Mus musculus: one gene and its partner. The protein of the gene in region 2 interacts with the protein of the main gene of each other region in a pairwise test. Links are inferred from orthologs where the notes say so. Each region holds a gene or a part of one and is shown on either strand. Other genes may lie near its edges.

Region 1 (2,596 bases), on a different chromosome or scaffold from region 2:
CTGAGTTCGAGGCCAGCCTGGTCTACGAAGTGAGTTCCAGAACAGCCAGGACTACACAGAGAAACCCTGTCTCGAAAAAAATCAAAAAAATAAAAATAATTAAAAATAAAAATAATTAAAAATAAAAAAATTTTTTAAAAGCCCCCTTTCTGTAACTAATAAAAATCTCTTGGAAATACAAGTGCTCATTTCCATCACTCTGCAAGCAGGAGGATCAAGCTCATTATGAAAAATGACAGGAATTGCAGAAGTGCTTTTATTTTGTTAATTTTTAGCTCTTATCCATTCATACTGAGGAACAATTAGGATCCTTTTTATATTGAGCCATAATTGCATCCTTTTGTGAGTTAAGAGAACATGATAACAAGTGATTACATACACGAGTGGGCTGCGTGCATGAGGTCAGTGACCTCTGCTTCAGTCTCCCCTGTGAGATTCTGATAGGCAGGGCAGGGAGCACAGTGTGCAAGCCTGTGGCAACCCAGGAAAACACCTCAGTTCTCTAGTGCTAAGCAGAGAGGAGATGGTAGCTTTATCAGCTTCCGTGACCAAGCAGCGAACATTGAATGCTGCATTTAAGGAGAATAGAAGGCAACTTTTTAGTATCCGTGTTCACTCCTCTTCTCCCAGACCTGAGGCAGCGCAGATCCTACACAGTTGATGTCTCCAGTCACAGCAGTGTTCTTGCCCATAGGTCTTACTCCAGTGCCACTGAAGAGGACTCCGCAAAACAAAAGAAACAGAAGTATCAGAAAAAAGAAAAGAAAAAGGAAAAAAAGAACAAGTCAAAGAAAGGAAAGCATCACAAAAAGGAAAAAAAGAAGAGAAAAAAGGAAAAGCGTTCTTCCCCTTACCATTCTGAACTCACCAAAAAGTAACAGCGTCTTGGGCCTAACTCAGAAAATTCAAGAATTCAGTGTTTTTAACTGTTGAGCCTTCCTTGGAAGTGCTATGTGATTACACTTTGCAGGAAGTCCCAGCCTCTTCCATAAAGACATTCTCACCTATTGGGGCCCTTCTCTCTCTGACCATCTGTATTAAACCCATCTCTTTACTTAGCAGATGTGCCTCAAGTATAGACATGCGTACTTACAAAGCACATCATTCTTTTGGTGGCTTAGGCCGGTGCTGTCCCTCGGTAAGTCAATTAGCACGTGGCTTTACTGCAGTCACAGGAATGATCTACTTAGCAGCTCTGAGTCGTGTCCGCCTTCCAGTGGCACAGCTGCCTCGGCAGGAGTGATTTGCTCTTGATACTGAATAGCTTTATGTACTCTGTAATGTATAAAGATAGTGAGGGTCTTCACTGTTGTTTTTTAAATCTCTAGACTTTCTAAAATAACATTGAGGATAAAATTGCTTTACTGATCTTAAGTAGTAAGTTTTTAAATGAATGGGATCTACAGGAAGATAATAATGAAAGTATTTATAACAGTGCCGTTGTTTTATGAAATGCATGTTTCTGGCACTTGCCTCCCATGTTTTTATAACAATTAAAACATCCCCTTTTTTAAACAATCATTTAGGTTACTAGGAAGTCTGGCAGAGAGATTCTATGCTAGTCAAGATTATTAGGGTAGATCCTGGGTTGATTTACAAATGTGCCATATTGGCATGTCTTAGGTGATACCTCAAACACAGAGCTTTTTGTGTGGTAGCAGCAAAATCCTCATTAAAACTGATTTTAATTGTATCCAGTGTATATGATGCCTACATATATTCGTGTTATGATAGTTTTTATGAATGTGTGCATATATATATTTTTTTTCTGAAATGGTTTTAGAGTGAGTTTCACACTGAACTTCTGGCTCATGGATAATCAATGTTGATATTTCCTCTTCCACGTCGGTCACAGATCTTAGTAGCACTGTGAAAATTTTTAAATTAAGATTTCCATTCTGTACTTTTTAAAATTGACGACTTGGAGATAGCATCGTGAAAGCCTTTGTGTAATAATGAAATTTGTATATAAATAAGCATTTTCAATGACATGTCAGTAGATTTAAGTGTCTCTGAGGTTTTTAATTTCATGGTTATCAGTATAGAGTAGTTTGACATCTAATAGTCCCTAATACCACCAAGTTAATGCATTATGCCATAAAAACATTGATCACCAACCTGCTATCATCGAACAGCCCCGAAGCCTCCGAGTACCTTGCTATGGTTCACTTCATACATCTTCAGATTGGTAAGTGCACGTGTGGCTGCGGGCAAATTTATGGCCATAAAATGAGATGCGTACACTTGGCCTTGCAGGCTGGAGGGCTTTAGCAATTGTTCCCTTACCCAAACTGACATTCCCTGATTGACTGAGGGGTAGTCCTAGGAAGTCCCTTAATGTACCCTCATCTCTGCTCAGGTTACACAGAAGCTACGCCCACACCCTTCCCTACACTGCTCCCGTGAAGTACACCTACGTACGTACCTTCAGCTCTTCCACTAACTGGCTACTCTCCTGGCCCATAAAAAAAGTAATTTTGTTTAGAGTTTTGTCAGTTGTTTGAACTAAAGCACAGAACTTTAATATTTAGGGATTTGTTTTGTCTATGCTAATTTTTGTGAAAGTTCAGTTATCTGAATTAATAAAAGGTTATTT
Region 2 (4,266 bases):
GCTTATTTTCTGTAGTCCCAGGCACTCTGCAACCTGCTCACCAGTACCTGGAGGCCACCGGGAGCGAGTGCTCAGCCTCTCCCAGGCTCTAGCTACAGAGGCTTCCCAGTGGCACAGGCTGATGGCAGGTGAGGCGCCCAGGCTCTGAGGGAGGAAGCCTGGAAGTGTGGATGTCACGTGATTAAGTTAACACTGCTCCTTATCCCTTTAGCCTCTCCAGGCAGAAATTTGGATACCAGGGGAGACTGTCTCCAGCCAAGCCCACAGCCTCCCAGTGAAGAACTGCCCCAGGTCACCTCGTCCCCAGCTCCTCACAAGGCTACTTCTGCTACCACAGGGTTCTCATGCCAAGGCAGCCGGAGAGGCCTGGCCCCATGGGAGGCCAGGTGGGACCCTGGGAAGGCCCCTCCAGCTCTGACCCAGGAAGAGGGGGCATGGCCCTTCAGAGTCACTCTGCTGCAGTCCAGCTTTTGACTCCCATCTTTATACTGAGCCCTACAAGCTGGAAGCACAACTTTGAGGTGTGGGACCATTCAGGACCACAGGGGAGAGGTTCATTCCAGCATGTATTCTAGGAGGGCCAGGGCCGCTATGGTCAAAGATTGATTTTCCCAACACTGTCCAAAATTGGATGAAAACTTTGAACTATTAGTCAATAAATAGCTTTTATTCTCTCTGTGGTTGTGACATTGTGTTCTGACAAACAAGGGTAAGGGCCCAATCTGCAGTGGTGGCACACGCCTTTTATCCCAGCACTTGGGAGGCAGAGACAGGTGGATTTCTGAGTTTGAGGCTAGCCTGATCTACAGAGTGAGTTCCAGGACAGCCAGGGCTATACAGAGAAACCCTGTCTCGAAAAACAAACAAACAAACAAACAATATGGGTCTGAGGGAGGAGGCTGGAGCCTGAATCAAGCCAGAAGAAGTAGCCCTGGTCTTACAAGTCAAAGGAAAAAAAAAAAAAAAAGAAAAAAAGCCGGGTGTAGTGGCGCACGCCTTTAATCCCAGCCCTTGGGAGGCAAAGGCAGGCGGATTTCTGAGTTCCAGGCCAGCCTGGTCTACAAAGTGAGTTCCAAGACAGCCAGGGCTATACAGAGAAACCCTGTCTCGAAAAACCAAACCAAACCAAACCAAAACAAAACAAAAAAAACAAGTCAAAGGGAGCAAGGCTGAAGTCAGTCTGAGGAGGCAGAGCTGGGGTGAGGGTCCCTGAGTCTGAAGGAGGACTGTCAGTTTGGGTACCCTGGGACTGAAAAAGAAGGGCTAGGAAGGAGAGTCCTCAGTTCTCCCAGGTGTGCCTTCCTAGAAACACCCCCTCCCAAGGTCAGCCTTCAGTGACCCAGCCTGTATATCTGGTTCCACCCCACTGCTTCTCTGGACTGTGGAGGTGGGAAGAGGTCCAGAGGGCGTGGGATACAGCTGGGGATGGCTGCAGTAACCCGATATTCTGGGAAGGTGGTGGTGGTGACTGGAGGCAGCCGGGGCATCGGGGCTGCGATCGTGAGAGCCTTCGGTGAGTAAGGGTCTTCCCGCCTGCTGTCTGAATTGTTGTAGGAGAGAAAGGATGACTGACAGAGGTTCCCAGAGTGGGAGGAGGAGACTCAGGTTCATTTCTGTAATGATTTATTTGTTCTTAAATGATTTGTTTATTTTTATTTTCCTCTGCATTGTTGTTGAATCTGGCTGAGAGTATTAGATCCCTTGGAACTGGAGTTACAAACAGTTGTGAGCTGCCATATGGGCACTGGGAAATGAACCTGGGTCCTTTGGAATAGCAGCCAGTGCTCTTAACTGCTGAGCCATCTCTCCAGTCCCTCAGTCCATTTGGATTGTTGGGTCTTTGCTGATAGGTTGGTCATTAAAAACTCTTCCTTGGGCTGGAGAGATGGCTCAGCGGTTAAGAGCACTGACTGCTCTTCTGAAGGTCCTGAGTTCAATTCCCGGCAACCACATGATGGCTCACAACCATCTGTAATGAGATCTGGCATTTCTGGAGTGTCTGAAGACAGCTACAGTGTACTTACATATAATAAATAAATAAATCTTAAAAAAAAAAAAAAGTTCTTCCACTGGCCTGGCAGTGGTGGCATATACCTTTAATCCCAGCACTTGGGAGGCAGAGGCAGGCGAATCTCTTGAATTTTAGGCCAGCCTGATCTACAGAGTGAGCTCAGAACAGCCAGGACCATACAGAGCAACTCTGTCTCAAAAATATAAAAATAAAAAAAAAAATCTTCCCTGGATCGGTTCCTAGCTGCAAATGATAGCTTTGAGAGTATTATTGCCTATCGGTTTGGGATTTTTCTAGAATCCAGGATGGGGGCCAACAGCAGCTTAATGAAAAAGGTTATTTGTTGCAAGATTCTGCTCTTGTAAGAGGACTGAAGCCAGTCACAAGAGCCGCTGGAGTGGCAGGTGCTCTGGGTGGTGGCCAGCAGAGGGCACCAGAGATGGTGAGGAAAGTCTGCAGGGCTTGTAACCTTGTTCTCTTCTTTTGGCAGTGGACAGTGGGGCTCAAGTGGTTTTCTGTGACAAGGATGGTGAGTGATTCAGTGTTCGATTCTCCCTTGCCTCCTCCATCGAAAGGGATCCGCGCCTAGCTCTCCTCCCTTGAACCCAGCTCTGCTTCCTCGGACCCAGGAATTCAAGTCCTGGCTTTCTTCCCTCCCATCCAGGGCTCTTCCCTAGCCCTCTACCCTCAGACTCTGGTGTCCAAGCCTCAGCTCTCCTTCCTCAGACCCAAAATCTTTCTCCTGCAGAGGCTGGGGGCCGGGCTCTGGAGCAGGAACTCTCGGGCACTGTTTTTATCCCCGGTGACGTGACACAGGAAAGAGATTTGCAGGTGAGTGTTTTCTGTCCCACACCTGGTCTCCAGTCCCTCTTTCCAGCTACCCATGCCCAGGACAGCTCAGTCCCTCTGCCCTGCTCTCCCTCCCATCTTTAGGAATGAACAAAACACTTGCTTCCTGTATCAAATTTCTGACTTCCCTGCACTCAGAATCTGTTATGTGCCTCCAGGTTTAGCCCCAGTCTGGGCCTCTGTCTCTCTGTCTGTGTATCTCAGCTCCCCACCACCCTCAGGGTCTGTAGACCCTCCTTCTGAGGCTCTGCCTTATACACACACCCCTCTCCAAAGTTTTCTAAGGTGGTGTGCTGATAAGTGTTATATCAACTCTACCCAAGCTACAGTCATTTGGGAAGAGGAAATCTCACTAGAAAATGGCCCCACCAAATTGGCATGTGGGCAAACCTGCTGTTCATTTTCTTTTTTCTTTTTTCCCAAGATAGGGTTTCTCTGTGTAGCCCTGGCTGTCCTGGAACTCATTCTGTAGATCAGGCTGGCCTTGAACTCAGAAATCCGCCTGCCTCTGCCTCCCAAGTGCTGGGATTAAAGGCATGTGCCACCACTGCCCTGCTCAATTTCTTTTTCTTTTTTTTTCTTTTTTTTCGAGACAGGGTTTCTCTGTATAGCCCTGGCTGTCCTGGAACTCACTTTGTAGACCAGGCTGGCCTCAAACTCAGAAATCTGCCTGCCTCTGCCTCCCAAGTGCTGAGATTAAAGGCGCTCATTTTCTTAATTAGTGGTTGGTGTGGGAGTTTCCCTAGCTCCCTGGGGGGTTGTGACATCGCTGGGCAGGTGGTCCTGGAGGCCTGGAGAGTATAAGGAAAGGGGCTGAACGAGCCAAGGGAGCAAGCCAGTGAGCCTCTGCTTCAGTCCTTGCCTTGAGTTTCTGTCTTGAGCCCTCTGTCACTGGCTTCCCTCAGTGACAGAGTGTGACCTGGGAGCTGTAGGCAGACATAAATCCTCTCCTCTCCAGGTCACTTTTGGCCATGGTGTTTATCACAGTGATAGAAACACTAGCTGTGACAAACGGCAACTGCACTATGTCCCTTAGTTCTTTTAGTCTGGGTCCTCAGCTTCCTGCATCCTCCCCTCTCCCCCTCGCTCCACCTTGTCTTCCTCAGCTGAGCCCATCCTTGCCTTGGGCCTACTGGCTTTTCCAAGACTACTGTCACCTCTCAGCTCATCACCTGCTCTTTCTTCTCTCCTCAGACTCTGGTTTCTGAGACCCTCTCTCGATTTGGTCACCTGGATTGTGTGGTGAATAACGCTGGCTACCGTAAGTTGTATGGCTTGGGGGCTAGGGTCCCTGCATCTACTTATACCCTGACCCCATTCCTTCCTCTTTGTTTGTTTGTTTGTTTTCGAGACAGGGTTTCTCTGTATAGCCCTGGCTGTCCTGGAACTCACTCTGTAGACCAGGC

What was found.
Region 1: the proteins of Hsd17b14 (region 2) and Srek1ip1 interact in binary tests that used the Homo sapiens proteins (3 or more experiments, as listed by UniProt). The two-hybrid records come from large-scale screens. The link is inferred for Mus musculus from reciprocal best matches to the Homo sapiens genes HSD17B14 and SREK1IP1.

The regions. Positions count from the first base shown.
Region 1 is NC_000079.6:104,836,671-104,839,266, forward strand, and holds the end of Srek1ip1 (protein SREK1IP1), read left to right. Parts: intron 1-694; coding exon 695-878; 3' UTR 879-2,006; downstream 2,007-2,596. UniProt on the Homo sapiens protein: Possible splicing regulator involved in the control of cellular survival.
Region 2 is NC_000073.6:45,553,554-45,557,819, forward strand, and holds the start of Hsd17b14 (17-beta-hydroxysteroid dehydrogenase 14), read left to right. Parts: upstream 1-1,374; 5' UTR 1,375-1,425; coding exon 1,426-1,513; intron 1,514-2,501; coding exon 2,502-2,540; intron 2,541-2,759; coding exon 2,760-2,842; intron 2,843-4,054; coding exon 4,055-4,121; intron 4,122-4,266. Other genes in the region: Plekha4 (pleckstrin homology domain-containing family A member 4), read left to right, coding at 16-128, 212-474. UniProt on the Homo sapiens protein: Catalyzes the NAD(+)-dependent oxidation of L-fucose, yielding L-fucono-1,5-lactone, which rapidly converts spontaneously to L-fucone-1,4-lactone. Can also act on D-arabinose and L-galactose, with lower catalytic efficiency. Does not use NADPH.